7 linked regions of the Neurospora crassa OR74A genome follow. The protein of the gene in region 1 purifies or fractionates together with the protein of each later gene. This does not show direct contact. Links are inferred from orthologs where the notes say so. Each region holds a gene or a part of one and is shown in the gene's direction. Other genes may lie near its edges.

Region 1 (2,814 bases):
GTTGTCACTGCCCTCCTGAGAGCTAAACTGTCCGCGCTTGAGATCCATATGGACTGGTTCGATAAAGTCAGGCTGGTAAGCCTTGAACTCGTTAGGGTCTGATACCATGACAAGGGTATAGTCGCCCTCAAGGGTATCGAGCACCAGGCCCAACTGATCGTCTATAGTTGCACAGGTTAGTACGGGGCAATTCAATAGCCGACCCGTGATCCGAACTAGACATACCATTAGAAGCCAGGATTTGCGCCCTATTATCCTTGTGCTCCAAGGAAGGTAGATGCGTGAGGTCAACTTTGACGATACCGGCAACCTTCCCCTTGGCAGCGCAGGCTTCCTTCACATAATCCTCCAACGAATGGGTTGAGAGGTCGCCGACTACCTCCGCAACGCTGAAACGGCCCTTGATTTCCTTGCTTGCGATTGTGTCGCATAGACTGCGCATTTTACAGTGCGAGCCATCGCGGATGTCGGCGGCGTGCACGTTCGGCTGGGAGACGATAACGTAGTCTTTCGTAGGACAAGAGGAAAGGATCTCCTTGGCGGAAGCAATCACTTGATTGCTGGTTTGGAGCTGATCGTATCTTTCGGGTGTATTGAGCCTGGAAATCACGGTTTCGCAAGGGTCAGCATCTTCAGTCGAAGTCACATGCATGAAAGCGCAACTGAGTGGGATGTGGTGCACAAGATCGTGATGGCGCGAGGGCAACTTGAAGGGACACCACCCACGGCGACAATTGGGACATGACGTACCTGGAGGTGGAAAAGAGGACAAATGGTGAAGAGTCCGAGAAGGCATGCACTGCCGTAGAGGCGAGCAGAGTTGTTACTATCGAGAGTTTCATGATTTACAGATTATGCCAAACTGTCTGCGATATTGTCGTCGTCGTCGGTTGTTGTGTTGGATATGCGAATATGGTGTAGTGTACAAACTGGCAGCGTGGTGTAGCTCCAGGATCCAGAGCCCGGGAGCGTGGATGTCACTGCACTGAGAGAGCGCCAGACGTCTGATGCATGGGATTGGGTGCTGGGTGTGACCGGCAGGCTATGGACATCAGAGATAGGCGGTAGAATAGGGCAGAATACGATAAGGCCGCTTCCTGCATGGTGCCCCGTTCGAGTGAACATTTGAACAGGGGGGTGGCTATCAGTAAATTTACAGTTGAACCCAGAGCATCCAGATCGCTGCATCCAAACATCCTTCCCGCCCTTACCTCTACCTCGATTTCTTGTTCCCTTTTCTCCACAAAACCACCAAACGAACTTTCCACTCAAAGTCAACCCTCGAAGCCATTATGGAGAGGGATCCAGCGTTCTTTGTTGCCCCAAGGCCCAAAAAGAGTGGGCTCGCGCCGCCACCCAAGAAACGCAAGATAGTGCACAAGGTCGAGGAAATCACATTCGACAAGGACGCCCGCACCGAATATCTTACCGGTTTCCACAAGCGTAAACAGGCCCGAATCAAGGCTGCGAAGGCGCAAGCAGAGGAAGAGGCACGGCTGGAACGAATTAGGTTGAGAAAGCAGGTACGTACCGGATGACCGCTGTCTTTCTTGGTTGGTTCCATGGCAGTAAGTCTAATCTACGTCGGGTACAGATCAGAGAGGAGCGGCAGAAGAACCTCGAGGAACATATCCAAACAGTGCACAAGCTTCTCCACGAGGCAGAGCGTGCCGGTACCGACGACAAACCCACCGAGAACAAGTCAGACGACGAATGGGATGGGCTATCCGAAGACGATGTGGCGGAAGAGCCTGCGCTTGATGTCGAGGAGGAGTACATCGATGAAGACCGCTATACGACCGTGACAGTAGAAGCCGTCAGCGTAGACAGGGACGGCATCCACAAACCACGGACCTTGAAGGACGAAGAAGATTCCGAGACGGAGAAGAACAACAAGAAGAAGAAGGCGGCTGAAGAGGCGGCGCAGCAGGAAGCCGACAAGAAATCAAAACGAAACTTCCCAGAGAAAAAGAAGAAGAGAAAATTCACATACGAAAGCCGACATGACCGAAACGTCACAGAGAGGAAACAGAGGGCAAAGAAAGCGAAGCGGTCGTGATAGGTTAGATGGCGAAGGAAATAATCTACCGCTATTCCTGACAGCGGTATCCCTTACGATATCTAGATCTTGTTTAAGTACTGTATGTGCAATGCTGGGATGATGGATTATGCTTTGAACTAGTAGGCAATATGAGTTGTACGCGGGAGTTAGATAACGGCTTGCTTTGTCCGTCTTATCTCCCTACTCGACAACCCGAGGACAAACGGCATAAAGGGTCAGGCTGATATTATCGATGCGGTGACGCTGTGAACAAACGTAAAGAAAGGAATTTCCACCATGTTCCGACTGCATCCGTTAACCAACTTAGATGTTGGCAATATCAGCCTGGAACTCTTCCAAGCTCTTCTGTACCTCGGCGTACTTCTTGGCCATCTCTTCGTACTTGGACTCCCACTGGTCGCGCTCGTTCTCGAGGGCCTGAACCTTGCGCTCGAAGTGGCCGGCCTTGACGTCGGTCTGGCGAAGCCTGTTGAAGGAGGAAAACATCATGTTAGTCTAAGGTGTCGCAAAGAAAAGGGGTTCAAGGGCACAGGGGTTAGGACCCTCCCCCATCTCATCGTCCAGGGGTGCGTGTATTTCGATGCAAACGTACTTCTCGTTGGTCTCGCGGAGAGTCTTGTCAGCCTCCTCGGCCTCCTCTTCAAGAAGTTGAAGTCTCCGTGTCAGCGTCTCGTTCTGAGTGCCTTGTTGCGCGCCATCCTCGGCGGCGCTCTTGAATTCCTTAACCTGGGTCTCGAGCTTTTCCACCTCAC
Region 2 (3,729 bases), about 880 kb from region 1:
CGGGTTGTAGGAGCTGCTGTCGTAGCCGTATTTTTTGATTTGTGGTTGGAACTTGTTTGTTACGGTGGTGGTGTCGAAGGCAGCCGCGGGTTTGGCCTGTTCGGCCGCCGTCGTGGAGATGGAGTTCCCCGCTATGATGAGGCGGGTGATGTGTGAGAGCTCGTCGCGTTGGACGGAGGGATCGAGCGCTTCGCCGAGGAGATACTCGAGAAGCAGGTTGAGTTCCATGGCGTAGGAGGTGTCGGCGTTGGAGAACTCGAGGCCGGAGACGAGGGCAATCTTTTTAGAGGAGGGCTTGTGGGACTGCCTGGAGAAAGAGGCGTCCATCATTTCGACGTCTTCGGAGGAGTCTGCTTCCTTTTTGCCTTTTGAGAGCGACCAGCGCTCGGGCTGTGGTGGTAGTTCGGCGAAGAGGAGGTCGATGACTTCGAATTCGCCGTTGGCGTTCTCGGTGCCCATTACCGCGACGATGCAGCCGGTCACCATGAAGTGGTTTTGCAGAGCGTTGCCGACAAGACGGATGCGGCCGGAGTCGTCTTCGAGCATTACCGAGTCTTCGCCGTTGCCGGAGTAGTAGTGGCCGACCGAGGTGGGAGCGGAGATCCAGCGCTATAACATCATTGTCAGCTGCCTGGTGTCCACCAAAGGATAGGCTGAAACTCACATCCTTGGAGACATCCTCGAGGATTGAGGGCTTTAGAGGCATGTCCATATATACTGTTCCAGCTACCCAGCATAGTTCTCCCTGGCGAACGTCTAGGACACGCTCGACCCTCTTGACCTTCTCACCACCAAGCACTGTTCCCTCCCAAGCGGCGCTGGCGGCTGCCTCGACGGCGGGCCTGATCTTTGTAAGACGCAAAAAGTAAATATCGGCATATTGTTGTTGATAGGGACGGGTTTTTTCGAGTTTGAAGGTATGAAGGGGCTTGTAGTTGGTGATCTGGCGCTGGAGAGCCTCGGGCGCATCGCCTCTTCGTGAAGTTGGGTTGTTAGCTGATGATCGCCAGTGGAAGATGGATGATCCACTGCTACTCACGAGGGCTTCTGTAGCAAACCGCTACCGAGAACTTCGTCCAAGGTGACCATCGTATGATTGATACTGACAATGGCTCAAGATGTGAGAACGACAAAAGCAATTGGTGACTTATTCATGTGCTGCCCGACTCGGAAACTGACTTCAAGGGACGAAACTCGACGACGCGCTTGACAATTTCGAGACGCGTAGCTCCAGTGGGTTCAATTAAGCCAGGTACATGACCGGTACTACTCTATACTAGTATAGTTTACATAGTAGCGGCGCTTCAGCACTGTGACCCTCACAGGAACCGTCGGCCCCGCTATAAAGTTCCGATAAGATAGGGGAACGTGGGGTAGCTAGAACACTCCAGACCCCTGCGCTGCAAGGCTGGACAGAAAAAATTGGATGGAGTCTTGGATTTGGCATGGCCTTGTGGTGTCCGCTGCAAAGTAAACATCCACACTCTCCTCCCGACGACGCCTGTTTCACGGTAATCTAAGCCAATCTGACTTTTACTTGTCAATTGATAGTATTCAGCCTGCCCATACCGAACAGCGACTACCCAATTCACATAATATCACAGCACAGGCACCGCCATGGACCACCCTACCGAATCAGGCGCCCAGGTCCGGGTGACCTTCACCACCCAGGAGGAGGACATCCAGCTCGATGAGAGCAAGCGCCAGCTCCTTGTCCCCGCCGACATCCGCCGTTATGGCCTCTCCCGTATTCTCAACTCCGAGTCCATGCTCGACACCAACTCGATCCCCTTCGACTTCCTTGTTAACGGCAGCTTCCTCCGCGGCAGTCTTGAAGAGTACCTCAACGCCAACGGCCTCTCGCTCGAAACCAACATCACCCTTCAGTACGTTCGCAGTTTGATCCCACCAACATACGAGGCCAGCTTTGAGCACGACGACTGGGTCAGCGCCGTCGATGTTCTTTCCGCTACTTCTCCCGCGGGCCGCTGGTCCGGCGACAACTTTCAGCGCGGCCAAGATCGCATCCTCTCCGCCTCGTACGACGGTCTCCTCAGGATATGGGACGCCTCTGGAAATGTGATTGGCACCTCGCCCTCGGGCAGCCACGGTGGTCACACTGCCAGCATAAAAGCTGCCAAATTCCTCTCCAGCACTCAGATTGCCTCGGCCGGCATGGACCGCACAGTTCGCGTATGGAAGTACACCGAGTCGGGCGAGTCGTACGAGCGTCGCGGCGAGCTGAAGCCCACTCTCGAACTGTACGGCCACACCTCCTCGATCGACTCGCTCGAGGTTGACGGCGCCTCGAAGCGCATCCTCACTGCCTCCGCCGACGGTTCCATCGGTTTCTGGACCACCTCCAAGGCGTCCGCGCCCGAAGTCTCCGATTCCTCGCTCCTTCCCGGCGCCCACACATCCAAGCGCCGCAAGCTCGCGACCTCCGTCACCGCCGCCCAGCGCGGCCCGCTCGCCCTTATGAACATCCACAATGCGCCCGCCACGGCCGCCGTCTTCGACCCCCGCGACCGCACCGTTGCCTACTCTGTGTCGCAGGACCATACCGTCAAGACCATCGACCTGACCACCTCCAGCGTGGTCAGCACCTTCACAACCTCGCATGCGCTCCTCTCTCTCGCTGCCCTGCCGCGCTCCTCGGCCTCGGCGCCCCTTCTCGCCTGCGGCACCTCCGCCCGACACATTACCCTCGTCGACCCGCGCACCAGCACGGCCGCGACGAGCGTCATGACGCTGCGTGGGCATGCCAACAAGGTGGTCAGTCTGGCGGCGAACCCGGAGAACGAGTACTCACTGGTTTCGGGCTCGCACGACGGGACGTGCCGGATCTGGGATTTGCGGTCGGTCCGGCCAGCGACCAAGGACGAGGGCGGCATGGGCAGCGTCAGCGAGCCCGTGTACGTTATTGATCGCGAGAGCCAGCAGGGCAAGAAGAAGAAGAGCAGTGTGACGGGCGACGGGTGCAAGGTGTTCAGCGTGGTGTGGGATCAGCTGGGCATCTTCAGCGGTGGTGAGGATAAGAAGGTGCAGATTAATAAGGGGAGGGGTGTGAATGCCGAGTAGAGGAAGAAAAATGGTCGGGAAAGAGGGGGTTGTTGATGAAGAGAAGGGAAGCAGCAGAACTTGGTTGTTATGATATACCCAGGATAGATAAAATGGAATGTGAATACTGTACAGGATATTTTTGTGATATCTGCAGGGACGAGGCCAAGAACAGCCGTGACAGATTCTTTCTGAACTAAACTGTACGCGAAAACTGTACTGACCTGGAGCATAGACTAGATGGCTTCTGCAGAGCCCAGTCAGGTTGTTCTGAGGATTATACAAGGTTCATCTACCAACGTCTAAAAGTAGCCAAGTCGGTCTCGGGGTATAGGTGCATCGTCGACATCTTTCCTTTCTTGTTCAGCACTCGACCAGCAGCTTGAGAGCCGGCTCAGTGACTTCTCGACATCTTCCTCAACCTCTCCACCTCTTCCTCATCAACCGTCGCTTGACTGCTGCTATTGCCCAGCGTCAACTCCTCATCAAAGTCCAAATCCCCAGCCTCCAACGCAGCCTTCATCACATCCTCCACGCTCTCTTCCTTCGGCTTTACCTCCACCTCTGCCTGTGTCTCATCTACCTCCTCACCCTCAACCTCCTCTACCTCACCTTCCTGCTCCTGCTCCTGCCCAAAAATCTCATCCAACAACTCCAACTCACTCTTCC
Region 3 (3,836 bases), on another chromosome or scaffold:
TAGGCGGACTGTTCGGTCTTCGAGGTACATGGTCTTTTTCCCCCCCGTAAAGTTAGCCAAAGGCTCTCATCTTGTTCTACTAGTTCTTGGGTCTTTGCAACTGTCGCGCATTGTCTGTCTGGGAAGGAAGGGCGGTAAAGAATTGAATGGGAGACGGGGGTCGAACATGCCTTGGAAAGGAAATCGATACCAATGGTGGCTTGGTACATGTTATCGAACGAGTCGTACATGAAGCGTGTGATGAGCGACGTCTTGCCGACTGTTTGCGCGCAATCGTTGAGTTAGCATTGGTGTCTCGGAGAACATCGTGGAGAAAGTGTTGTAGGTTGAGGTAATCGCATACCGCTTTGTTCGCCCAAGAAGACCAACCTGGCGAGGAGAAAGAGTGGTTAGCATCTTGTCTTGTTTTGTCTTCCATTTGACTTAAGTGCATTGTCTGCAAAAGTGTCGGGTATGTTGTCTTACTTGAATTTCTTCAAGGGGTTGTTGTATGACCCGCCTGCTTGCGCCATTGTGATGGATGTGTTTGCGGATTAACGGTATTTGGCGGGGTAGGTAGGTAGGTAGGTAGGTAGGTAGCTGAAGGTATTCGGAAACACGATCAAGGGGAGGAAGCTTTCGGACTTTGGAGGAGGTGGTGGTGGTTAAGTGGCAGAAAGCTTAGTAGTGTAGGCGGTCGGAGTTGGTCTAGAGTTAGATAGGTGTCTGCTGGTCGTCGAAGTGGAAGATGGACGGCGGCGGAGAGTTGCCGGAGACTGATCATGCAGCGTTGAGTGGTCTCAGTGGTGCGACGGACGGGGCGTGGTGGCCGGGGGGTGGATGACAAGGGAGCTTGGAGGACAATCGGGTCGGTGTTTGGGATCCAGTCGGGGTCTCGTTGCCGACTTGGTTGCTGGGGTCTTTGCAGTCCGTCGAGTCTTCGTTTACCAAACAAAAATCGGGTCGAGAGATCGTTTTATAAGAGTTGATACCACAGAGAGCAGAAAATACTTGAACATTTAATATTTTGTTTGGATACAGATTAATTGATTGACCGACATTCCGTATGTACGTATGTACAAGTTTACATGTTTTTATCCATTGTTTATGCATAACCTCAAGTTCGAACAACAAAGTGTTTCTTGCGACTATTATTCAGTCTTCTTCCCCGAAGCGGACTCATGCGAGAGAAAGGGGACCGCGCCAAGCGATCAGTGGAGGGAAACAGTGGCCGCCCGCCGCCTTTCTGCGCCCAGACAAATTCGACACTTCACTTGACCAAAACGACCGAGACCGGGCATCCAATGGAAGCTTGGCGGCCGTCATTGGATTTGTCCAGAGGCCGAGGCAGCTTGGAAGTCTGATTGGCTAATTGCTCCAACTGCCAGCTGAGCACGGCTGGGGAAGGGAACTGAAGCGCTGGACGCTTGTGTTCCATGAAGTTGCTCTTCCCTGTCCTGTCTCGGGCAGGTCTTTCTTATCTTATCGCTGCCTCCTGTCGCCGCTGAAATTTTGAGTTGCACACCCCACTGGGCAGTCGGATTGATTGCAGAGGAGACCCCAGAATTCCAGGCGGTTTCGAGGTATCAATATTTCCAATTTCTTATCTGCCTCGAACCTCCGCCGACTCGTTTGATTTCTTCGAGTCGTCAACCCAACAACACAACACACCATCACATCACATATCCAAAATGCCCGTCCTAAAACCCTTGTCGGGCAATCCCGAAGCCCCCAAGCAATACAACCAACCGTCGAGAAAGGGCAAGAAGGCGTGGAGGAAGAATGTCGACGTGACAGAGGTCGAGCAGGGTCTCGATGAGTTGAACGCCCAGATTATCAAGGGGTACGGCGCTCCTTCTGTGATGCTTTGTATTACCAAAGACACCAATTGGTTAACATGAATTATCGTATAACAGTGGTGTCATTGCCGAGAAGACCTCCGAAGAACTCTTCGCCATCGACGTCAAGCCCGACACCGAAATCACCAAGAAGCTCCCCAAGCAACTCAAGAAGCCCTTGAAGGCCGACGAGATCCTCGCCCAGCGCTCCGCCGTTCCCGCCGTCTCCCTCAAGAAGCGCCCGGCTTCTGAAACCTCCGGCAAGGTCACCGACGGCGTCCTGCCCTCCAAGCGCCTGCGGGCCACCTACGTCACCCAAAAGGAGCTCAGTCGCCTGAAGCGCGTTGCCGACGGCCACCACACCACCACGGTTGAGGTCGTTGACGCCACCTTTGACGCCTGGGCCGACCCAGAGGAAGAGCAGAAAAAGAAGCAGCAGGCCGCGGAAACGTTCAACTTTTTGCCCAAGGTCGAGAAGCCCAAGGCGCCCAAGACGCTCACACAACAACCCATCTCCCTCGCCGCCACCGGCAAGCAGCTCCCCGCCGTTCCCAAGCCCAAGGGCGACAAGTCGTACAACCCCGCCTTCACCGACTACTCGGAGCGCTACCAGGAGGAGCTGCGCAAGGCCGAGGAGGCCGAACGGAAGCGGCTGGAGGAACTCGAGAAGGAGCGTCTCAAGGCCGAAGCGGCCGCCAAGTCGCGCGCCGAGGCCGAGGCCGCCGAGAAGCGCGCCGAGCTGTCGGAATGGGAGGATGATTCCGCCTGGGAAGGGGCCGAGAGCGACGCGGAAGGGTTGGCCAACAAGAAGAAGCGGCCGGAGCGCAAGACGCAAGCCCAGCGCAACAAGATCAAGCGCCGCAAGGCCGAGGAGCAGCGTCTGAAGCACGAGGCGGCCATCAAGAAGAGGGAGGCCGAGGCCGCGCGGGTCAAGCAGATTGCCAAGGAACTGGCCGAGAAGGAGAGGCAGCTTGCTCTCCAAAAAGCCGAATCCAACAATGTCGAAGAGGACGATGCTAGCCTTGAAGAAGATGACGACGTCGAGCTGCGCCGTAGGCAACTAGGCAAGTTCAAGTTGCCCGAGAAGGATCTGGAGCTGGTCTTGCCGGATGAGCTGCAGGATTCGCTGAGGTTGCTCAAGCCGGAGGGTAACTTGTTGAAAGACAGGTACAGGAATATGTTGCTTAGAGGCAAGGTGGAGGCGAGGAGGCACATTCCCTTCAAAAAGCAGGCCAAGACAAAGGTCACGGAGAAGTGGACTTTCAAGGATTTCAATCTGGCTTGAAGCGGCTCGGCTGGGTTTAAGTTTTGGGGCTTTACGGACATATACATATTCGGATTTGTTTGGTAATTGTTTTTCCTTCTACAAAATATTCCCTTTTGGTTTTTGTTAGTAGTACGTTTGTCATGTGTATATTGGCGTTTACGGTTTTCTCACTTGGTCTTCAGTGCAATAAAAGGTTGGAACATTCAAAGTGGTCCTATGCTCGCGTTTTTGTCTTTCAAGTCTTGTAGTGAGATGACATTACATGAATGTCTTCACACTCGCCCATTAACACACCAGAACATACGTAGTGACGGGATATTACTTGTTATTCGCATTATCTACAACCAAAAACCCTAACTGGATATCTTTTCCCACCACCCTACCAAATCACACACTCACCACGCTTCCCCAACTCCTAGTCTGTCTATTACATTACTACCTTGTCTCTCCTCTCTTCCCACTCTTACCCCTTCCCATCCCATCCCCCCTTTCCATTCGGAGCTAGGCACCCCTCACACCACACTCCCTCACAACAACAAATCCCCCTGAGCCCCATTCATCCCTCCCATGCCATTCATCCCCCCCATCCCCGGCTGGTACGCCGAGCTCTGACTGACCACGTACCCCTGTCCATACCCATAATGTCCCGCATCCCCACCAAAACTGTCGCCGGGCTGCTGTATCTGCATCTGCCTCATCTGCTGCGCAAAGTACGCATCCGCATCATTGACCGCCGCCTGCTGGTTCGCTTG
Region 4 (4,095 bases), on another chromosome or scaffold:
ACAAACCTACCGCTAGAGGAAGTGATAATGATAGCTGACTACCCCCCCCCCCCCCCCCCCCCCCCCCCCCAAAACGACACAAAAAACATCAGCAGAGTCCAACTATTTATCACCCAATCCCTCTGATAGCCTCCATAGACATCCGCTTTGAAGTGGCACCAGGAAAGCTTGACATCGTCTTGATTCCGGGACCGGAATCCTTAGCTTGACCTCTAAGAGGGCCCAGCCGCTCTGTCGTGGCTGGCAGGGCATGCGAACAACACCAGTAACAACCAGACGAAAATGACAGACATCCTAAGCGTCTACTCAGCCATCTACCTCTGCGGTGCGGCCGGGATACTCAAAAGCAAGCAAGCCTGTGGACCGCGAGAGTTGCAAGGAGATCTGCGGACGAGATTCGAGGACCAGGACGTTATTCGGGTGGCGGAGAAGTTGAGGTGGGTGGGGGATGGGAATCTTTGGCTTATTCTAGTGGTTTGTTTTCATCCCTTCCTGACTAGGCCCAGAAGACTGGGCCGACATTCGATGAATACTATAGGAGGCGTAACCAACGGCAATGATCTCGTTGCGGCTTACGCGAGGCAGAGCCGTCACTTCCCGGGCCCAGTGGCTAAGTCGGGATTGAAGCTCGTTAAGGTGGATGAGAGGCCGCAGAGATATGAAAATCGAGACAAGATCTAGAGACGATTGCGTTGATGATGGGATGACTGTGGCATGCTGGGTTATCAAGGTGTGCCTGAAGGTTCAGCCAGGGGCTTACCTAATCTTGCTTTGAATCCCTCAGAAATGCTTTCGTTGGTGAATCCTCTCACTCAGGTGGAGTGAACCGTGAGCCTGGGGGACCGATGTGATGTGGGATGGCATCGCCGGGAGACTCCAGACATGTACCTGTGGTGCATGGTGTTCATTCTTATACCTCCCACCTGATGCACTTTGCTCTGGCACCAATGAATCCTGCAGATGGCAAAAGATTGCAGTCCCGCGGCGACCACCTTCAAACCTCGAGTCGGTGATGACGAGTTGCAGTTTGAACATCCCGTCGTCGCAAGGTTCCCATGCCAGCTCTAGGCACATCAAGCGTCCGCGCACGACGTTAGCGCGGAGCTTGTCGAACTCTTCCCCGCTTTTGTTAGCAGACCGGCCTGCATTGACCGACATACCCTTGCTAGCTTGGCTTGGGGAGCGGGAGAGTGGCAGTGAACCGATAAGGAAGTCTTATCGCTACAGTAACAGACAGTACAGACGGTGGGGTGCCGAAATTTTTCTGGATTCCAAGTGCAGTTCGCCTGAACTTTTCCTGTCGACCGCCCTCGTCCTCGATCGCATTTTCTGCCTTTCCCAAGTCAAACTGGTCGCATCCATCTTCAGACTTTTTCTACCCAGCCCATTCATCTTCTTTCAATCTTAGAAGTGTATACTTCCGACGACGACTTCGAGTTCCTGTCTCTTTAGTTTTCTTTAAAATCTAGACTTTTTGATACCCCGGCGCAAAGCACCACCCAATCTTCACAATGGCCCCCCTTATGCCTGTCGCCGTTTTTGGCTTGGAGGTTCCTCCTGGCGAGATCCTCATTCCCGCCGCCTCTGAGTTCCCTGCTATCGTAAGTGCACACTTTTCGGAGCCTTTGGCCCTCTCCTTCGCAGGCAATGGCGCTCCACTGGACTGGGTTACACGGAGCTAACGACATGAATTCCAGATTCACATCACCATGGCCGCCCTCGATCCCACCAAGGCTCCTGAGGCTGACGGCCAAGGCAACATTCCCGCGCTCCCCCGCTCGACCCTGAAGATCATCAAGGCCACTGGCCACGACCATGACGACGATGATGAGGAGGAGGATGAGTACCTCCAGTCCCTCCTCGGCGGCGGCGACTCTGACGACGAGGCCAACGGTGGTCCCAGCGACCCTTCCAAGTCCAAGAAGGCCAAGCAGGAGGCTGCCATCAAGAAGCTTATGGCTGCTACCCAGGAGGAGTCTGATGAGGAGATGGAGGATGCCAAGCCCAACGGCAAGAAGGGCAAGGGCAAGGGCAAGGCCAGCGAGTCCGACGAGGAGGAGAGCGACGAGGAGAGCGACTGCTGCGGCGATGATGACCTCCAGCTTGAGGACTACGTTGTCTGCACCCTTGACACTGAGCGCGTAAGAAGCCCCATCCATTCGGTGAACGTATTTTTGAGTTCTTGGAGCTAACCTGATTCCCCATATACAGAACTACCAGCAGCCCATCAACATCACCATCGGCGAGGGTGAGAAGGTCTTCTTCTGTGTCCAGGGTACCCACTCTGTCTATCTCACCGGTAACTTCGTTGTTCCCGAGGATGACGAGGAGGACAGCGAGGATGATGAGGATGAGTCCGACGACGAGGATTACGACTTTCCCCTTGGTGGCGAGGATGACGATTCCGACGATATGAGCGACGAGCTCGACGAGCTCGATGGCACCCCCCGTGTCAAGGAGATCACCTCGGAAGACGAGGAGGAGGAGGCTCCCAAGCTTGTCGACACCAGCAAGAAGGGCAAGAAGCGCCCCGCCGAGGACGATGCCGAGGGTCTCGATGCCATGATCTCCAAGGACGACAAGAAGCTCAGCAAGAAGCAACAGAAGAAGCAGAAGGTTGAGGAGGCCAAGAAGGAGGAGCCTAAGAAGGAGACCAAGTCCGACAAGAAGGTCCAGTTCGCCAAGAACCTCGAGCAGGGCCCTACTGGCCCTGCCAAGGACAAGCTTGAGAACAAGAAGCCTACCTCTACCGTCAAGGTTGTCCAGGGCGTCACCATTGATGACAGGAAGGTTGGCACCGGCCGTGCCGCCAAGAACGGTGACCGTGTTGGCATGCGCTACATCGGAAAGCTCCAGAACGGCAAGGTCTTCGACTGTAAGTCTCACTTTTCCATCACTCTCACAGTATTGACTAGAGACTAATATTCAATACAGCCAACAAGAAGGGTGCCCCGTTCTCTTTCAAGCTCGGCAAGGGTGAGGTGATCAAGGGTTGGGACATCGGTGTTGCTGGCATGGCTGTCGGTGGTGAGCGTCGTCTCACCATCCCCGCGCACCTTGCCTACGGCAGCCGTGCCCTTCCCGGCATCCCCCCCAACAGCACTTTGATCTTCGACGTCAAGCTCCTTGAGATCAAGTAGATTGTGACGTTTCGAAGCGTGGGGTAGGAAGGCTTTGGCTAGCGTCGCGATTTCTATGGCGGTTGTCATCCACAACCTTTCGTGTTCTATGGCTAGCAAGTCTTGGGATTTCTTTGGTCAGCACATATTTCCTTGCGCTCATGTTGGGTTTGGTCAAGGAAGTGGGAATGTCATTTCAACAGCATAATGTCAAAAGTATTGGGTCTGGATTTCTTTCTGTACTTTGGGTTGTACATCGTTCATGGGGCACGATCTATTCTATATTGCGTCTATCAATTGCAAAGGCGCAACATTTCTACGTTACCTACACTCGACTCGGACTTGGCAAACTTGGATGTTTCGAGATGTCGAGGAAAGTGTCTTTGATTGACGGACGGTAATAACTTCCAGGAAAGCGTGACAGTTGGCTACAAACACTGGCTTTCTTCAGAATTGAAGTCGTACCTGCCCTGTCTGTGCCTCAAGAGGTCAGTGTTGTTGACCTGGGGCAAGGGAGGCACATCTAATGGGTAGGTAGTTCAGGTGATGCATAGGTATGGAGCTACCTTACTCCGAGTCGTCCTCTCTCACTGCACCTTGTCGTATTTCAACACACTGACAAAGTCCATCCACGTCTTCCCACCTCCCCGCTCTGCTTCCATCTCTCAATAGGTATCGTCATTGTATCTTTCACTATCATCATAGCCGCCGCGACTCCCGACTGCCGCCAAACTAGGCATTGTGCGTTACGATCGACCAACTTAGACGCCGCAGCGGTTTCTACCATTCAATGGACAGGACCGAGCTTGAGACATGAAGAGGAGCTCTTCCCAAACATCAAGTCATTTGGGTACCGCCATCCCGGTTTATCGTCCCACTAAGCCTGACGACTGCTCGCCTAGGTCGTCTCTCGCTTCTTCTTCACCCAGTCAAGGTGCCCATCGCCCATCGAGATCTCACTGGCAGAGGTCAAGGC
Region 5 (4,121 bases), on another chromosome or scaffold:
GAGCGTTGTCGTTCTCGATCTGGATGCTTCTCCTGCCGGAACGGTACTTGTCGAGCAGACCGTTGGTGGCTTCAACCATGACACCACCCCAGAAGGAGATGAGGCCAGGGTATTCCATCTGGTACTTGCAAGAGTCAAGAGTGTACTGGGAGATGGCGGTAAGCAGCTCGGGGCGGTTCGTCGCTTGCTGAACAATGGCGGCGCGAGGGGGCGCGGTCAGAGAGCGGATGTAGGGGTCGAGGAAGCGGTACTCCTTGGGGATGTTGGCGGGCAGGATGGACAACAAGGTCACAAAGGCCGGGATGGTATGGTATGGGAGGAAGGTCGCGATGAGAGCAGCCGTGTTGAACTCATGAACGCGGAACCGGCGGATCAACCACTCGATGGCCTTGATGGTGGGCATGAGACGCAACCTGCTGCCGCACAGGTGGAGGAAGGCCTCGACATGCTTATCGAGGGCGGCATTCTCAGCGGCGCTCATCTGTGTCCTGTCGGCCTCCTGGCTTTGTGGGCTCCATAGCGACTGGGTGAACTTGGTGAAGCGCGAATCAAGGTTGCACAGCTCCTCAAAGCCTTCGAGGCATATCGAGTAGATCTCGGGGTATGTCTGGGTAGCGGCAACGCGGGGCTCGAAGATCAGGGACTTGGAGTGGGCGGCCTTGAGGACCTTGGTGTTGAGGGTCGACCGCGAGTTGGCAGCGATCTGGGCCAACTGGGAGGCCAAAGACGACATGGTTGGGTGTTGGTTTCTACGATTCGGCTTTATGGTTATCGTATGGTACTATCGTCAAGGAGAGTCGACGTCGATATTTCGATCGCGTCGCAAAGTGGGAATTCGATCGGCCTTTCGGCGCGTGGTGGGAGACGGGGAAGAGTGCAGTCTCGATTGTGTATCGTGGGGTAGAGACTGGGATTACGGGAGGTTGGATGTGTGTACAGTGGTCGAGAAAGAGATTAGGTGCCGCGGTCTCTCTTTGCTGCGACGAGGTTGATGTTTTCGGAGAGTGCCCCGTCGGTGGGTTCCTATTTGGATGGATGGAAGGAAAGGGAATTCAAACTTGGAGGAGGAGGTGCGGCCACTCGAAGCTCCAGCGCAAGCAACTGAACTCGACCGCAAAACTCAAAGTGCAGTCAATCGATGGCCGTTCATGGTTCAGCAACTTTTTTTTCCCCAAGCGGTGGGGTCCGATAAGAAAGCTAAACCAACCACATCCCGCCGATAAGACCCCCAGCTTTGGCAGCCAGGGTCCAAAAAGTTTGGAAAATGTTCCTGAGCGGTTCCTCATCTCAGTGAAGAACAAACAATCGATACCCATCCATCTCCACTCCAGAACACCGCTCGCTCCCGTCTCACTTCAGTCTGTCTTCAGCACACATCGATCAGCCGCCCACACTCAGTGTTTCAGGTTCACTTCACATCATCTCACAACCCTCCAACTGCACAGACCATCACCAGCCACCACCATGTCTTCCCATCCTTCCAAGCGGAGGAAGCTGACCGAGGGAGGCCAGTCCTCGGACGGCGCAGCAACCAGCGACGTCAAAATTCAAAAGCAGTTCTTCAAGAGTGCACAGAGCTGGAACCTCGAGGAGGACTATGAGAACCGCCCCAGGAAAGGAAAGAAGAAGAAGGAGAAGAAGGTCGCCGATGCCACGAAACTGCCCATCAGAGTTGCCGAGGGAACCTGGGTGACGCAGGAAGAGGAAGACGCCGAGATTGCGAGCGATGCCGAGTGGTTGGAGAGTGAAGGGGAGGAGGCCCCTGAGGAGGAGGAGGCTCAGCCCGAGCCAGAAGCACCCAAGATTCCCGAGCGTGAACAGATCAGGAGAGCCCAGGAGGAAATGGCCAAGATCGCAACGCAGCTCAATGAAGACCCAGAGGAGCATCCGGGTGCTTTCAAGGCGCTCGCCAAGATTGGAGAGTCGGACCTTCTCGCCATCAAGAAGCTCGCCATTGTTGTCCAGATGACCGTCTACAAGGATGTCATTCCCGGCTACAGGATAAGACCGGCTTCGGAGGATGTTGCCAAAGAGAAGCTGTCCAAGGATGTCAAGCGGCTACGCGTCTATGAACAGGCCATGGTGACCGGCTACTACCAATACATCAAGACCCTTGCTGCCCTCGCCGGTGGATCGATTCGCGACAAGTCCAAGCAGCCCATTTCCAGCATCGCCCTTACCTGCGCCTGCACCCTTTTGAACGCAGTACCGCACTTCAACTTCCGCGGTGAGCTTCTCAAGATTCTCATCAAGAAGCTGAGCTACAGAAATATCGATAAAGACTTTATCAAGTGCCGGACCGCTCTCGAGACCCTGTTTCACGAGGATGAGGATGGTCAACCCGCCATGGAGGCCATTTCAGTACTCACAAAGATGATGAAGGCTCGTAACTACCAGGTTGACGAGAGCATCCTGAACCTGTTCCTCCACCTGCGTTTGCTTAGCGAGTTTTCCGGAAAAGCTTCCAGAGACACGGTGGAGAAGCAGGACGATGGGTCGGTCAAGAAGCCGAAGCAGAAGAAGGAGTTCCGCACCAAGCGTGAGCGCAAGCTTCTTAAGGAGCAGAAGGAGGCTGAAAAGGTCATGGCCCACGCCGACGCAGCTGTGAGCTACGAGGAGCGAGAGCGGATGCAGTCCGAAACGCTCAAGATGGTTTTCGCCTCGTACTTCCGCATCCTCAAGATGCGTATTCCCAACCTCATGGGTGCCTGTCTTGAAGGTCTCGCCAGATACTCCCACCTGATTAACCAGGACTTTTTTGGTGATCTCCTTGAGGCCCTAAAAGACCTGATCCGCTACAGTGAAAAGGACGCCAACAAGGAGGACGAGTCGGACGACGAGAACAAGGAAGAGGAAGAGGATGAAGACGACGAGCACGAATTCGTTCGTGACACCAGCCGCGAAGCCCTCCTCTGCACCGTCACCGCCTTTGCTCTTCTCGAGGGCCAAGACGCCCATAACGCCCGCTCGGACCTTCACCTCGATCTCTCCTTCTTCATCACCCACCTCTTCCAGTCCCTCCTCTCTCTCTCCGTTAACCCGGATCTTGAACTCGGCGCCCAGTCGCTCCAGCTCCAAAACAGCGTGCGCCGCAACAACCGCATCAATTTGCAGACCACCACCGTCCTGCTCGTCAAGTGTCTCAGCGGCATCCTCTTGCCGCCCTGGAACATCCGCTCCGTGGCGCCGCTCCGTCTGGCCGCCTTCACGAAGCAGCTCATGTCCGGATCGCTCCAGGTGCCGGAGAAGTCAGCCCAGGCGCTTCTCGGCTTGCTCGCCGACGTGCTCCACACGCACGGCAGGAAGATCAGCTCGCTCTGGAATACGGAGGAGAGGAAGGGCGACGGCACTTATAAGCCACTTGCGGCGACAGTGGAGGGTAGCAACCCATTCGCGTCGACGGTGTGGGAGGGCGAGCTGTTGAGGAGACATTACTGCCCCAAGGTGAGGGAGAGTGTGAAGGAACTGGAGAAGAGCATCAAAAGTATCAAATAGCTGGTGAAAGGGTGATGTCGGAAGGGATTGTCTTGTTATGTCTACGAGACTCTAGGTGTAGGTTGTTGGAGAGTATACACGTTAGCTTTGGCATAGAATTATTATTGTTGAAACGATTCTGGATATCTACGAGTTTATGGCTGTGAAAGTGATTTCAATGGCGGCTGGCAGACACAAAGCCACCACCATACCAACGGGTACTTTTGTCGACCAAACCCATCATGATCACAGTGGAATGTGGTATTACTTCAGTTTCTTTGGAGATCTAAAAGCAGGCGGTCGCATTTGTTATGTGATAACACTTGGAGAATGAGCCTCCTCCACTGCACCTTCCCAAGACATTTCCAACTTTCAGTTGGCCATCAGCTGTTTTCCCTCCTCGACCTCCATTCAGCCGACCATCCTGACCTTTGCATCATTTTTCTTTTCTTTTCATCTTTTCTATTTTCTGCTCTAGCTCTGTCTCACCGAGTCGGGTCAGACTTGCCGAACCATGGCGGCTGTACATTAAACCGAGGCATGTCCGTAGCTTCCCCTCAGCCTCATGCGAGTTTAATTGGTGAGGTGAAAAATCTTTTGCTGTCTGATGACGATCGTCATATCGATTCATGGAGTGTCTTTCTCAT
Region 6 (4,019 bases), on another chromosome or scaffold:
GATTAAAGCCTACAGCAAAGAATTAGATAATTTTGGCGAACGTGATAGAGGGCTTACGATTTGTCTAACGGTCCTAAACCGTGAGTTTCTGGACCTCTTCCACGGGGACGTCATCATCGCCTTCCAGGTCCTCATCACCCTTCCCAGCCAAGCCCCTCTCCCAGAGTTGTTTGCCCGTGAGCTTGACAGGCTCCTTTATCCTTGCCTTCTTCATCTCGGCCGCCTTTTCCTCTTCCTCCTTGATTCTCTGATCTTCCAGTTCCTGCAAGAAACTCTCCCTCCACTTCAAAAAGGTTTCGCGATTGACGGGAGTGCCCTGGAACTTCTTGTTCTCTTCGCGCTCCGCGGCAAGGGCGGCCTCCTCTTGCGCCTTGATGGCAGCGTCCCTCCGCTCTACTGCCAGTTGCTCCGCAGCATCCTTCAACGCCGACACAACAGTAAAGATCATGGCCATCCCCAAATTCTCTTCAATTGTCTCTTGGATACCTTCGAGCAGCTGGAACCGATCGTCGGCAATGTTTATGTACTGATGGGGCGGCGCATTTGGGGCGGACGCAAGCTCAAGGAAAGGTGGCTTGTCGGGATAGTCTTCGGGGTACCGTACGGTAAGTACCATGCTTGGTGTTTCTTCGGCATCATCATCAGGAATGTCCAGCGTGATAGTAATCCGGTATTCGGTATCGGAGATATCTAGACGAGTCGAGCTTGGGTTAGGACAGGCCCATGCCTGAACGGCAACCGATGTGGGCGAACAATCGAACCTTGGATCTCATCTGGGAAGATGGAGTCGAGGACTTCCCTCTCTTCAATTTGTTCTTCGCGGCCCATGATGTCCAATCGGTAGGGCGCCTTTCAAGTTTGCAGTGTGCTGGACGACATAAAACGTGAAAGACTCCTTCCAAAAGTGGGTGCTGGCAATGTTGACTTTCAGGCGTTTACTAACCTAGAGAAGAGGACGGGAGGGGCAACCAGACGGCATTGCAGTGACTGTAGCGTCAGGTGCAGGCCAAACTCCAAAACGCGAGCGCGGCTCAATCTATGGTGGGGGTCCTGCCTGGGTTCCTTGTTATATCAATGGACAGTTCTAGACAGTGTCGATCAAGTCGCCCCACCACAGAACCCCGGAAAGCTTCTCACCGCCCGGCAGATGCCAGGATGCGGATCCAGAAATTTTCAGCGGAAAACGTGCTACAGAATTTCCAATTCAGAGGCTTCAGATACAGGGCACTCCAAAGTTTCGGATTCCCGTCTGAATACCTGCACTTTCACATATTCCTGCTCGACCATCACCTTTGAACCAGCGCCCACCCAGTACGACGTCAACACGAGCCCCCCATACCTAGATCAATCCTTCATATCCCGGAGCAACACAGACATCGCATAGCATCAATGGCGACCAAGTCGTCTTCAGCAGCCGCTGCCGGCGGAAAGAGAAAGGCGTTCGGCAAGCATAACGAGGATGGCCGTACAAAAGCAGTAAAGACCACTTCTGGCAAGAAACACATCAAGGCCGAAGCCGAAGACAATGAATCCTCCGATGAAAGCTCAGACGCCGAGTTCCACACAGGAGAGACCACAACATCCACGCCCAATGAGTCCGGCAATGGCTCCAACGAGACCAAGTCTGGTACGTTGTCTCTCTTTACCATATCTGCCCCATGATGACCGAACCTCGCTCTGTTATTTGACTAACACAACGCAGGCACAAGCTCCAGGGAGGCGCACGCCAAGCAAAAACAACTCGCCCAAGAACGCAAGAACGCGAAGCCACTGGCCGATGAGGTGCACCGTACCAAGAAGCTGTGGGAGAAGCTCCGTCGCAAGTCGCATGTGCCTAAGGAGGAGCGCCAACAGCTCGTTGAGGAGTTGTTCACCATCATAACTGGCCGCATCAAGGACTTTGTCCTAAAGCACGATGCTGTCCGTGCCGTCCAGACCGCCGTCAAGTACGCCACCCCGGTTCAGCGTAGGCAGATTGCGAAGGAACTTCAAGGAACCTATGCGCAGCTCGCCGAGAGCAGGTATGCCAAGTTCCTGATCGGCAAGCTTCTGGTGCAGAACGACAAGGAGATCCGCGACATCATCGTCCCCGAGTTTTACGGCAAAGTTCGCAAGCTCATCAACCATGCTGAGGGTTCCTGGATTCTGGACGATGTCTACCGCGGTGTTGCGACCAAGGAGCAAAAGGCCAACCTCCTTCGCGAGTGGTACGGTCCCGAGTTTGCTCTGTTTAGGCAACCCAAGGGTACCGAGGTCACTGGCGATCTCTCCAAGATTTTGGCTGACGAGCCCAGCAAGAGGACAACGGCGATGAAGTACCTTTTTGACATGGCCAATGGCCTCATTCAAAAGAAAATGACTGGTTTCACCATGCTCCACGACGCTCTGTTGCAGTACTTCCTCAACCTTAACCCCGAAAGCGAAGAGTTCAAGGAGTTCTTTGAGACTATTAAGGAGGATGAGACCGGCGACTTGCTCAAAAACATGGCATTCACCAAGTCTGGCGCCCGCCTCGTGTGCTTGCTCCTTGCGCACGGAACCGCCAAGGACCGCAAGCAGCTGCTCAAGGCCTACAAGGACACCTACCAGCTCATGAGTGGTGACAATCACGCGCACGCGATCATCCTCGCCGCCTACGATCTCCTTGATGACACTGTCCTCACGTCCAAGACGATCTTCTCCGAGATTCTTGGCAAGAATGAAGAGAAGGATGCCGAGCACGTCATCTTTCTCGCTAACGACCTCAACGCGCGCACGACGGTATTATATCTCTTTGAGGGAATGTCCAAAGCGTTGTTCCCTGCCAGCCACGCCACCGACCTGGAGATTCTGAAGGAGATTCACGAGATCCGCACCAAGACCAGCAAGAAGGACGCCGAGGTTAGGCGTAAGGAGTTGGTGACGGCCATGTCGCCTCAGCTCCTTGCGGCCATCGCAAGCTCACCCGCCGACCTGGTGGCCACCTCTTTCGGTTGCCAGTTTGTTACTGATGTTTTGCTTTCGGCGACTGGAGATAAGAAGGCCGCGTTGGAGGCTATTGCCTCTACTGCCGGTGGCGATCCCAACGCTGAGGCGCCCAAGGATGCCTACCAAGCTCTTCCCCCTCACATCTCGACAACCATTCACGGTGGCCGCATGTTCAAGACACTGATTGCTGGCGGCCGGTTTGACAAGGCCACAGGCAGCATCCAGAAGGTCGACCCCCCGCTCAACTTCGCCGACCTTCTCTATCCCGTCATCAAGGACCACATTGTACAATGGGCCACCGGCCCTAGCTCTTGGACGGTGCTAGCTATGCTCGAGGCTTCCGACTTCTCATCGAAGAAGGAGCTCCTCAAGACCCTCAAGTCCAACAAGAAGGCCCTTATCAAGGCCGCAACTGAAGCACCGGCGTCGAAGAAGGAAGAGATGGAGGAGAAGCCAAAGGCTAAGAAGGGCAAGAATGCTTCTGCCCCCAAGGGCAACCAGGGCTCGAAGCTCCTTTTAGAGAAGCTCGATGCCTAGGTTGAGGAAATTGTAGGCGTCGCATGGCTATAGTGACAAAAGTGGACGGTAGCCACAGGTTGACTAAATACCCCTTTTATGTTGTTTACTTTGTCAATGCGATTTTGTTGGGCCCCGCGTAATTTGCGGTTGACTGATAGCCCTGTTTACAAGTCTGGACATGTTATATATGATTGCATAGAGAAAAGCTTGCTTCCAGACTTCCCTGATGGTTCAGATATGACGCTTGAAACAGGCCGTGGCCTACTTGGAGTGAGGTAAATCATAATTAACCAGACAGGAGCGAGACAACTTTCTTATATTCGCCATTCCGGACCTTGGAAGGCCTTATTATCATACGACCTTCACATTGAACCACTTGTACCACAATTTTCGAGGGACACAACCTCCCCATATCAACATGGCGTGTAGAGGCAAAGTGCTGTGCAAACATTTTGACTGCGGCACCAAGACCGACATATATCGGGTTCACCGTCACTTGATGGCTAAGTGCCGCTTGGAAACCGAATAGAAGA
Region 7 (4,123 bases), on another chromosome or scaffold:
AACTCCTCGGCCACGTTCTTCTGCCTAACTGTCGTCTTTACGGCGGCTGAAGTGGTGGCAGTAACTCTGTCGTTGAAACCGCTGAACTCGTTTCGCAACTCCCTCATGCTAATGGGGTTCTTCTGCGAATCCCAAATGCTGCGGCCGCTTTCCCAGAGACCGGCGTTGTGGATCTTCTCGGTGAAGTGTTTGTTGACGTGCTCCTCCAGCTCCTTCTCGTCCACGATGAAGTTCTTGGACGCCACGTACAGCTGGACGACGGCGTCCCGGCGCGCCTCGCTCTTCATCGCCTCCTTCTCTGCATGTTTAATACGCGCCTCCTCGGCCTTGACGAAAGCCTCTGGGTCCAGGGGTACGAATGTGTTCTTGGCCGTGCTCTCGCGAATCGTCGCGCGCGTGAACACCTCGTCCAGACGCTCCGGCGCCTGGGCCGCCCGCTTGTTCGCCAAGTAGCGCGCCTTGCTCTCCTTCGCCTGCTTCTGGTCGCGCTTCACCTTGCGCTGCCAGAGTCCCTGCAGACCGGCCTCGAGTGACTGGCGCCGGGCCTCGGCCATCTTGCGACGCCACGACTCTTGTTTCGACTTGGGCGGCAGACCAGCCAGCTCGGCGGCGGACTTGGGAGCGATACGATTGACATAGCCGGATTGGACCTTCTCCGGGACGCCCTTCTTTGGGAAAATGGAGCGGGGGATCGGGAGGTGGCCCTTGACGAAAGGGTGCCTAACCTCGGAAGACTGCGGCGGCTCGGGGACCTTGATGTAGTTGGGCGAATCGGGGGGGATGGAGACCGAGTCTCTAGCCGATCGGGTGGTGCTGAAAGATCGGGCGGCGATGGCGCGTGTTACTACGCTGGTGGCAGCGCATGTTGTGGTCGGGGAAGAAAGGATAAATTGCACGCCGCTGAGCGACGGCCTGGCAAGAGTTGGCGCCATTTTTGAGGTGGAGGGTTGGCTGAAGACGGGGTGAGCGGGATGGGGTCGGAGTTGGGAGACTTCTGGCCGGGCCGTGCTATGCGGAGGTTTCGTGCGACGGAGGGAACGGACCAGGCGGGTGCAGCGGCCTCTCGCTCTCCTAGGTAGGTAGGTTCGGCTCGGGATCGTGGGACACGCCGCGGTACGAGGGGGCTTTCAACTCCGTCGAAATTCTGAAAGCTCGGGGAGGCCAGAACGGCGCTAGAGTGCTCTTGGTGCTACTAGCTTTGCTGGTCGCGGGCGTTCTGCCGTCGTACACCGCTAAACTTTTTGTGCATGGGGACCTTTGCGCGGCCTCCACACCCCGCCCAAAAAAAAAACTGACAAAACTTTCGCCGGGACCAGTCGCAGAGTTGCATTTCCTCCTTCTCATTCCTTCCTCGCTTCCCTCTCTTCTTTTCTTCTTCCCCAGTCCATTCATCCTCTCGATTCTCACGCAACACCCTCTGCCGATATCTGATACCCCATAGCCTCGTTTCTAGCCTTTTACCCATTCTTCCCTATTTTCGTGTGCTTCTTCTTTCAAGTCAATCTCAAACCCCCCGATCTACGGATACCCCCAGCCGCTCTCGCAGGCGAGAACGAAATTCTTCCACATCTGCATCCTCTACCCACCAACCTACTCGGTAATCTGGCATTGAGTGATATCTGCCAAAATGGGAACAGGAAAGAAGGAAAAGTCTCGCATTCAGCGACAGGGCAAGGTGACGGGTGATCCAAAGGTCAAGGGCGAGAACTTCTACCGGAGCGCAAAGAAGATCAAGGCCTTGAACGTGCTGAAGGAGGGAAAGGCCATTCGCAACAAGGAGGGCAAGGTCGTCAAGGCCGCGTCGTATCAGAGCAGAGATGTTCCCACAGCCGTCATCGAGCCGAACCGGAGATGGTTCAACAACACCAGAGTCATTTCGCAAGATACGTTGACATCTTTCCGGGAGGCGATTGCCGAGAAGGACAAGGATCCTTACTGTACGTTCAACTCTTCCGTCACTTGTCCGGCCGACCAAGACTAACGCACCTTGTCTTGTAGCGGTGCTGTTGAAAAGCAACAAGCTCCCCATGAGCTTGATCAGAGATGGACCCAAGGATGCGTTGAAGAAGCACCAAGCCAAGATGACGATTGAGAGCGAGCCGTTTTCACAGACCTTTGGCCCCAAGGCCCAAAGGAAGAGGCCAAAACTCAGCTTCAACACGATCGGTGACTTGACAGAACACAGCGAGAAGAGCATGGATACATACCAGGCCAGACTCGAGGAGATCAAGCTTCTAAGTGGTGCTTCTGGATATGGCGGTGGTCTTGCCGATGACGATGTTCAAGAGGAGGATTTCAGTGTCGCGACGGCCAAGGAGGCTATCTTCACAAAGGGCCAGTCGAAGCGTATTTGGAACGAACTGTGTAAGTCCTTCTGTGTTTGGGGACTTGTGACTTCGGGTTGCTAACCATCACATAGACAAGGTCATTGATTCGTCAGATGTCATCCTGCACGTTATCGATGCCAGAGATCCTCTGGGAACCAGGTGTCGTCACGTTGAGAAATACCTTGCCACTGAGGCTCCTCACAAGCATCTTATTTTCGTGCTGAACAAGATCGATCTTGTTCCTTCCAAGACTGCTGTAAGTGTAGACCATTATTTGCTTTCACTCCTTCTGCTTGAATCTCTTGACTTGCCTCGCGCAAATCCTGAGGTTCCCAGGGATTTTGTCAGGATCTTTCCCGCATTCAGTTGCGCTTCATTGGGATTGGTCTGTTACATCGCTGGGAGATTAATATCCACCTCCCAACCTCTCTGGTCCCGTCTTGGGATTGGGGATTTGATGGACTCCGTTTTGGAGGACTTCACGGGATACCGGACGTGTTTCGTTTGAGTTGAATTCCACCCTGCCTTTGAGCAGACTCTACCATGGTGGTCTTCTTAGTTATGATTCACACATTTCTTCACATTATACATATATGTTATATTCAGTAACGAGTTGAGGACTAACTGAAAACAATAGGCCGCGTGGATTCGCGTTCTGCAGAAGGATCATCCTACATGTGCTATGAGATCTAGCATCAAGAACCCCTTCGGTCGTGGTTCTTTGATCGATCTTCTCAGACAGTTCAGTATCCTGCACAAGGACAGGAAACAGATCAGCGTCGGTCTTGTTGGCTACCCCAACGTCGGCAAGTCGAGTATCATCAATGCCCTTCGTGGGAAGCCCGTTGCTAAGGTCGCCCCTATTCCCGGAGAGACCAAGGTCTGGCAGTACGTCACCTTGATGAGGAGGATCTACCTCATCGACTGCCCTGGCATTGTTCCTCCCAACCAGAACGATACGCCACAGGATCTCCTGCTCCGTGGTGTTGTACGTGTGGAAAACGTCGATAACCCGGAGCAATACATCCCTGCGGTATTGAACAAGGTCAAACCTCACCACATGGAGAGGACATATGAGCTCAAGGGCTGGAAGGACCATATTCATTTCCTTGAGATGCTTGCTAGGAAGGGCGGCAGACTTCTCAAGGGTGGTGAGCCTGACGTTGATGGCGTTGCGAAGATGGTTCTCAATGACTTCATGCGAGGCAAGATTCCTTGGTTCACGCCTGCCCCCGAAAAGGAGGAGGGTGAGACTGATACCATGGAGGGTCGCGAAGGACGCTACGGTGAAATGTCCAAGAAGCGGAAACGTGACGAGGACGACAGCGCGCCTGCTACCACTCCCGCTTCAGCAGGAGAGGATGCCAAGGAGGAAGACCCTGAGAACTTTGCCGGGTTCGACAGTGACAGCGACTCTGAGGTCGAAGAGGCTGCTGAGGAGAAGGGTGAGGAGAAGAGCACTGCTGAAGATATGATACCCCTGGACGCGTCGAGCGATGAGGAAGAGGATGGCGAGGAGGAGGGCTCTGACGTCGAAGATGACGAGGAAGGATCCGACCTCGACATCGAAGGAGCCAGCGAACTCGAAGAGTCTGAGTCAGAAGCCGAGGCTGCGCCAGCACCTCCCCCGAAGAAGCAAAGGAGGAGCAGGAAGTAAACTCGGTCAGTGAACGCGATGGGCGGCTGGGGTGAACCGAGCATGCGTTCAATAGCCGACCTCAGGGTTGGTAACGATCCAATCGGATCATGACGGCCGGTGTCACTGATAATAAACTGTTGAGGACTTGGGCATAACC

The links.
Region 2: the proteins of NCU01203 (region 1) and NCU03764 purify together in Saccharomyces cerevisiae (affinity purification with mass spectrometry; 3 studies listed by BioGRID). This does not show direct contact. The link is inferred for Neurospora crassa OR74A from reciprocal best matches to the Saccharomyces cerevisiae genes RRP17 and YTM1.
Region 3: the proteins of NCU01203 (region 1) and NCU05233 purify together in Saccharomyces cerevisiae (affinity purification with mass spectrometry, with the first as the bait; 3 studies listed by BioGRID). This does not show direct contact. The link is inferred for Neurospora crassa OR74A from reciprocal best matches to the Saccharomyces cerevisiae genes RRP17 and NOP53.
Region 4: the proteins of NCU01203 (region 1) and fkr-4 purify together in Saccharomyces cerevisiae (affinity purification with mass spectrometry; 3 studies listed by BioGRID). This does not show direct contact. The link is inferred for Neurospora crassa OR74A from reciprocal best matches to the Saccharomyces cerevisiae genes RRP17 and FPR3.
Region 5: the proteins of NCU01203 (region 1) and NCU00337 purify together in Saccharomyces cerevisiae (affinity purification with mass spectrometry, with the first as the bait; 3 studies listed by BioGRID). This does not show direct contact. The link is inferred for Neurospora crassa OR74A from reciprocal best matches to the Saccharomyces cerevisiae genes RRP17 and NOC3.
Region 6: the proteins of NCU01203 (region 1) and NCU09380 purify together in Saccharomyces cerevisiae (affinity purification with mass spectrometry; 3 studies listed by BioGRID, with this or other methods). This does not show direct contact. The link is inferred for Neurospora crassa OR74A from reciprocal best matches to the Saccharomyces cerevisiae genes RRP17 and PUF6.
Region 7: the proteins of NCU01203 (region 1) and NCU02546 purify together in Saccharomyces cerevisiae (affinity purification with mass spectrometry; 3 studies listed by BioGRID). This does not show direct contact. The link is inferred for Neurospora crassa OR74A from reciprocal best matches to the Saccharomyces cerevisiae genes RRP17 and NOG2.

Annotation. Positions count from the first base shown.
Region 1 is NC_026505.1:3,224,201-3,227,014, forward strand, and holds NCU01203 (hypothetical protein), read left to right. Parts: upstream 1-1,172; 5' UTR 1,173-1,292; coding exon 1,293-1,523; intron 1,524-1,594; coding exon 1,595-2,059; 3' UTR 2,060-2,260; downstream 2,261-2,814. Other genes in the region: NCU01202 (hypothetical protein), read right to left, coding at 1-161, 226-599, 751-842; tpm (tropomyosin), read right to left, coding at 2,366-2,528, 2,655-2,814. UniProt on the Saccharomyces cerevisiae protein: Essential protein involved in ribosomal RNA processing.
Region 2 is NC_026505.1:2,340,013-2,343,741, forward strand, and holds NCU03764 (microtubule associated protein), read left to right. Parts: upstream 1-1,423; 5' UTR 1,424-1,617; coding exon 1,618-3,081; 3' UTR 3,082-3,196; downstream 3,197-3,729. Other genes in the region: NCU03763 (DNA polymerase delta subunit 2), read right to left, coding at 1-609, 665-974, 1,040-1,089; NCU03765 (3'-5' exonuclease/helicase), read right to left, coding at 3,455-3,729. UniProt on the Saccharomyces cerevisiae protein: Component of the NOP7 complex, which is required for maturation of the 25S and 5.8S ribosomal RNAs and formation of the 60S ribosome.
Region 3 is NC_026504.1:5,668,369-5,672,204, forward strand, and holds NCU05233 (60S ribosome subunit biogenesis protein NOP53), read left to right. Parts: upstream 1-1,438; 5' UTR 1,439-1,670; coding exon 1,671-1,822; intron 1,823-1,895; coding exon 1,896-3,102; 3' UTR 3,103-3,289; downstream 3,290-3,836. Other genes in the region: NCU05234 (GTP-binding protein ryh1), read right to left, coding at 1-33, 171-259, 344-369, 466-512; NCU05232 (AP-2 complex subunit beta), read right to left, coding at 3,612-3,836. UniProt on the Saccharomyces cerevisiae protein: Late-acting factor in the nuclear maturation of 60S ribosomal subunits, which is required for normal acquisition of export competence. Required for the export of the large subunit.
Region 4 is NC_026501.1:5,029,383-5,033,477, forward strand, and holds fkr-4 (FK506-binding protein 4), read left to right. Parts: upstream 1-1,252; 5' UTR 1,253-1,511; coding exon 1,512-1,601; intron 1,602-1,697; coding exon 1,698-2,141; intron 2,142-2,211; coding exon 2,212-2,875; intron 2,876-2,934; coding exon 2,935-3,140; 3' UTR 3,141-3,780; downstream 3,781-4,095. Other genes in the region: NCU16390 (hypothetical protein), read left to right, coding at 283-437, 501-681. UniProt on the Saccharomyces cerevisiae protein: Proline isomerase that belongs to an abundant class of enzymes that catalyze the cis-trans isomerization of X-Pro peptide bonds and can accelerate the refolding of proline-containing polypeptides. Specifically binds nuclear localization sequences.
Region 5 is NC_026503.1:3,495,511-3,499,631, forward strand, and holds NCU00337 (nuclear export protein Noc3), read left to right. Parts: upstream 1-1,299; 5' UTR 1,300-1,464; coding exon 1,465-3,495; 3' UTR 3,496-3,625; downstream 3,626-4,121. Other genes in the region: NCU00336 (U3 small nucleolar RNA-associated protein 10), read right to left, coding at 1-733. UniProt on the Saccharomyces cerevisiae protein: Required for synthesis of 60S ribosomal subunits and the transport of pre-ribosomes from the nucleoplasm to the cytoplasm. Also required for initiation of DNA replication.
Region 6 is NC_026501.1:3,514,796-3,518,814, forward strand, and holds NCU09380 (pumilio domain-containing protein), read left to right. Parts: upstream 1-1,214; 5' UTR 1,215-1,389; coding exon 1,390-1,627; intron 1,628-1,702; coding exon 1,703-3,504; 3' UTR 3,505-3,730; downstream 3,731-4,019. Other genes in the region: NCU09381 (RWD domain-containing protein), read right to left, coding at 74-690, 762-828. UniProt on the Saccharomyces cerevisiae protein: RNA-binding protein involved in post-transcriptional regulation. Component of the ASH1 mRNP which transports the ASH1 mRNA to the distal tip of the bud, where the ASH1 protein is translated and targeted to the daughter cell nucleus.
Region 7 is NC_026501.1:2,685,191-2,689,313, forward strand, and holds the start of NCU02546 (nucleolar GTP-binding protein 2), read left to right. Parts: upstream 1-1,295; 5' UTR 1,296-1,627; coding exon 1,628-1,937; intron 1,938-1,998; coding exon 1,999-2,364; intron 2,365-2,419; coding exon 2,420-2,583; intron 2,584-2,964; coding exon 2,965-3,984; 3' UTR 3,985-4,123. Other genes in the region: NCU02545 (hypothetical protein), read right to left, coding at 1-932. UniProt on the Saccharomyces cerevisiae protein: GTPase that associates with pre-60S ribosomal subunits in the nucleolus and is required for their nuclear export and maturation.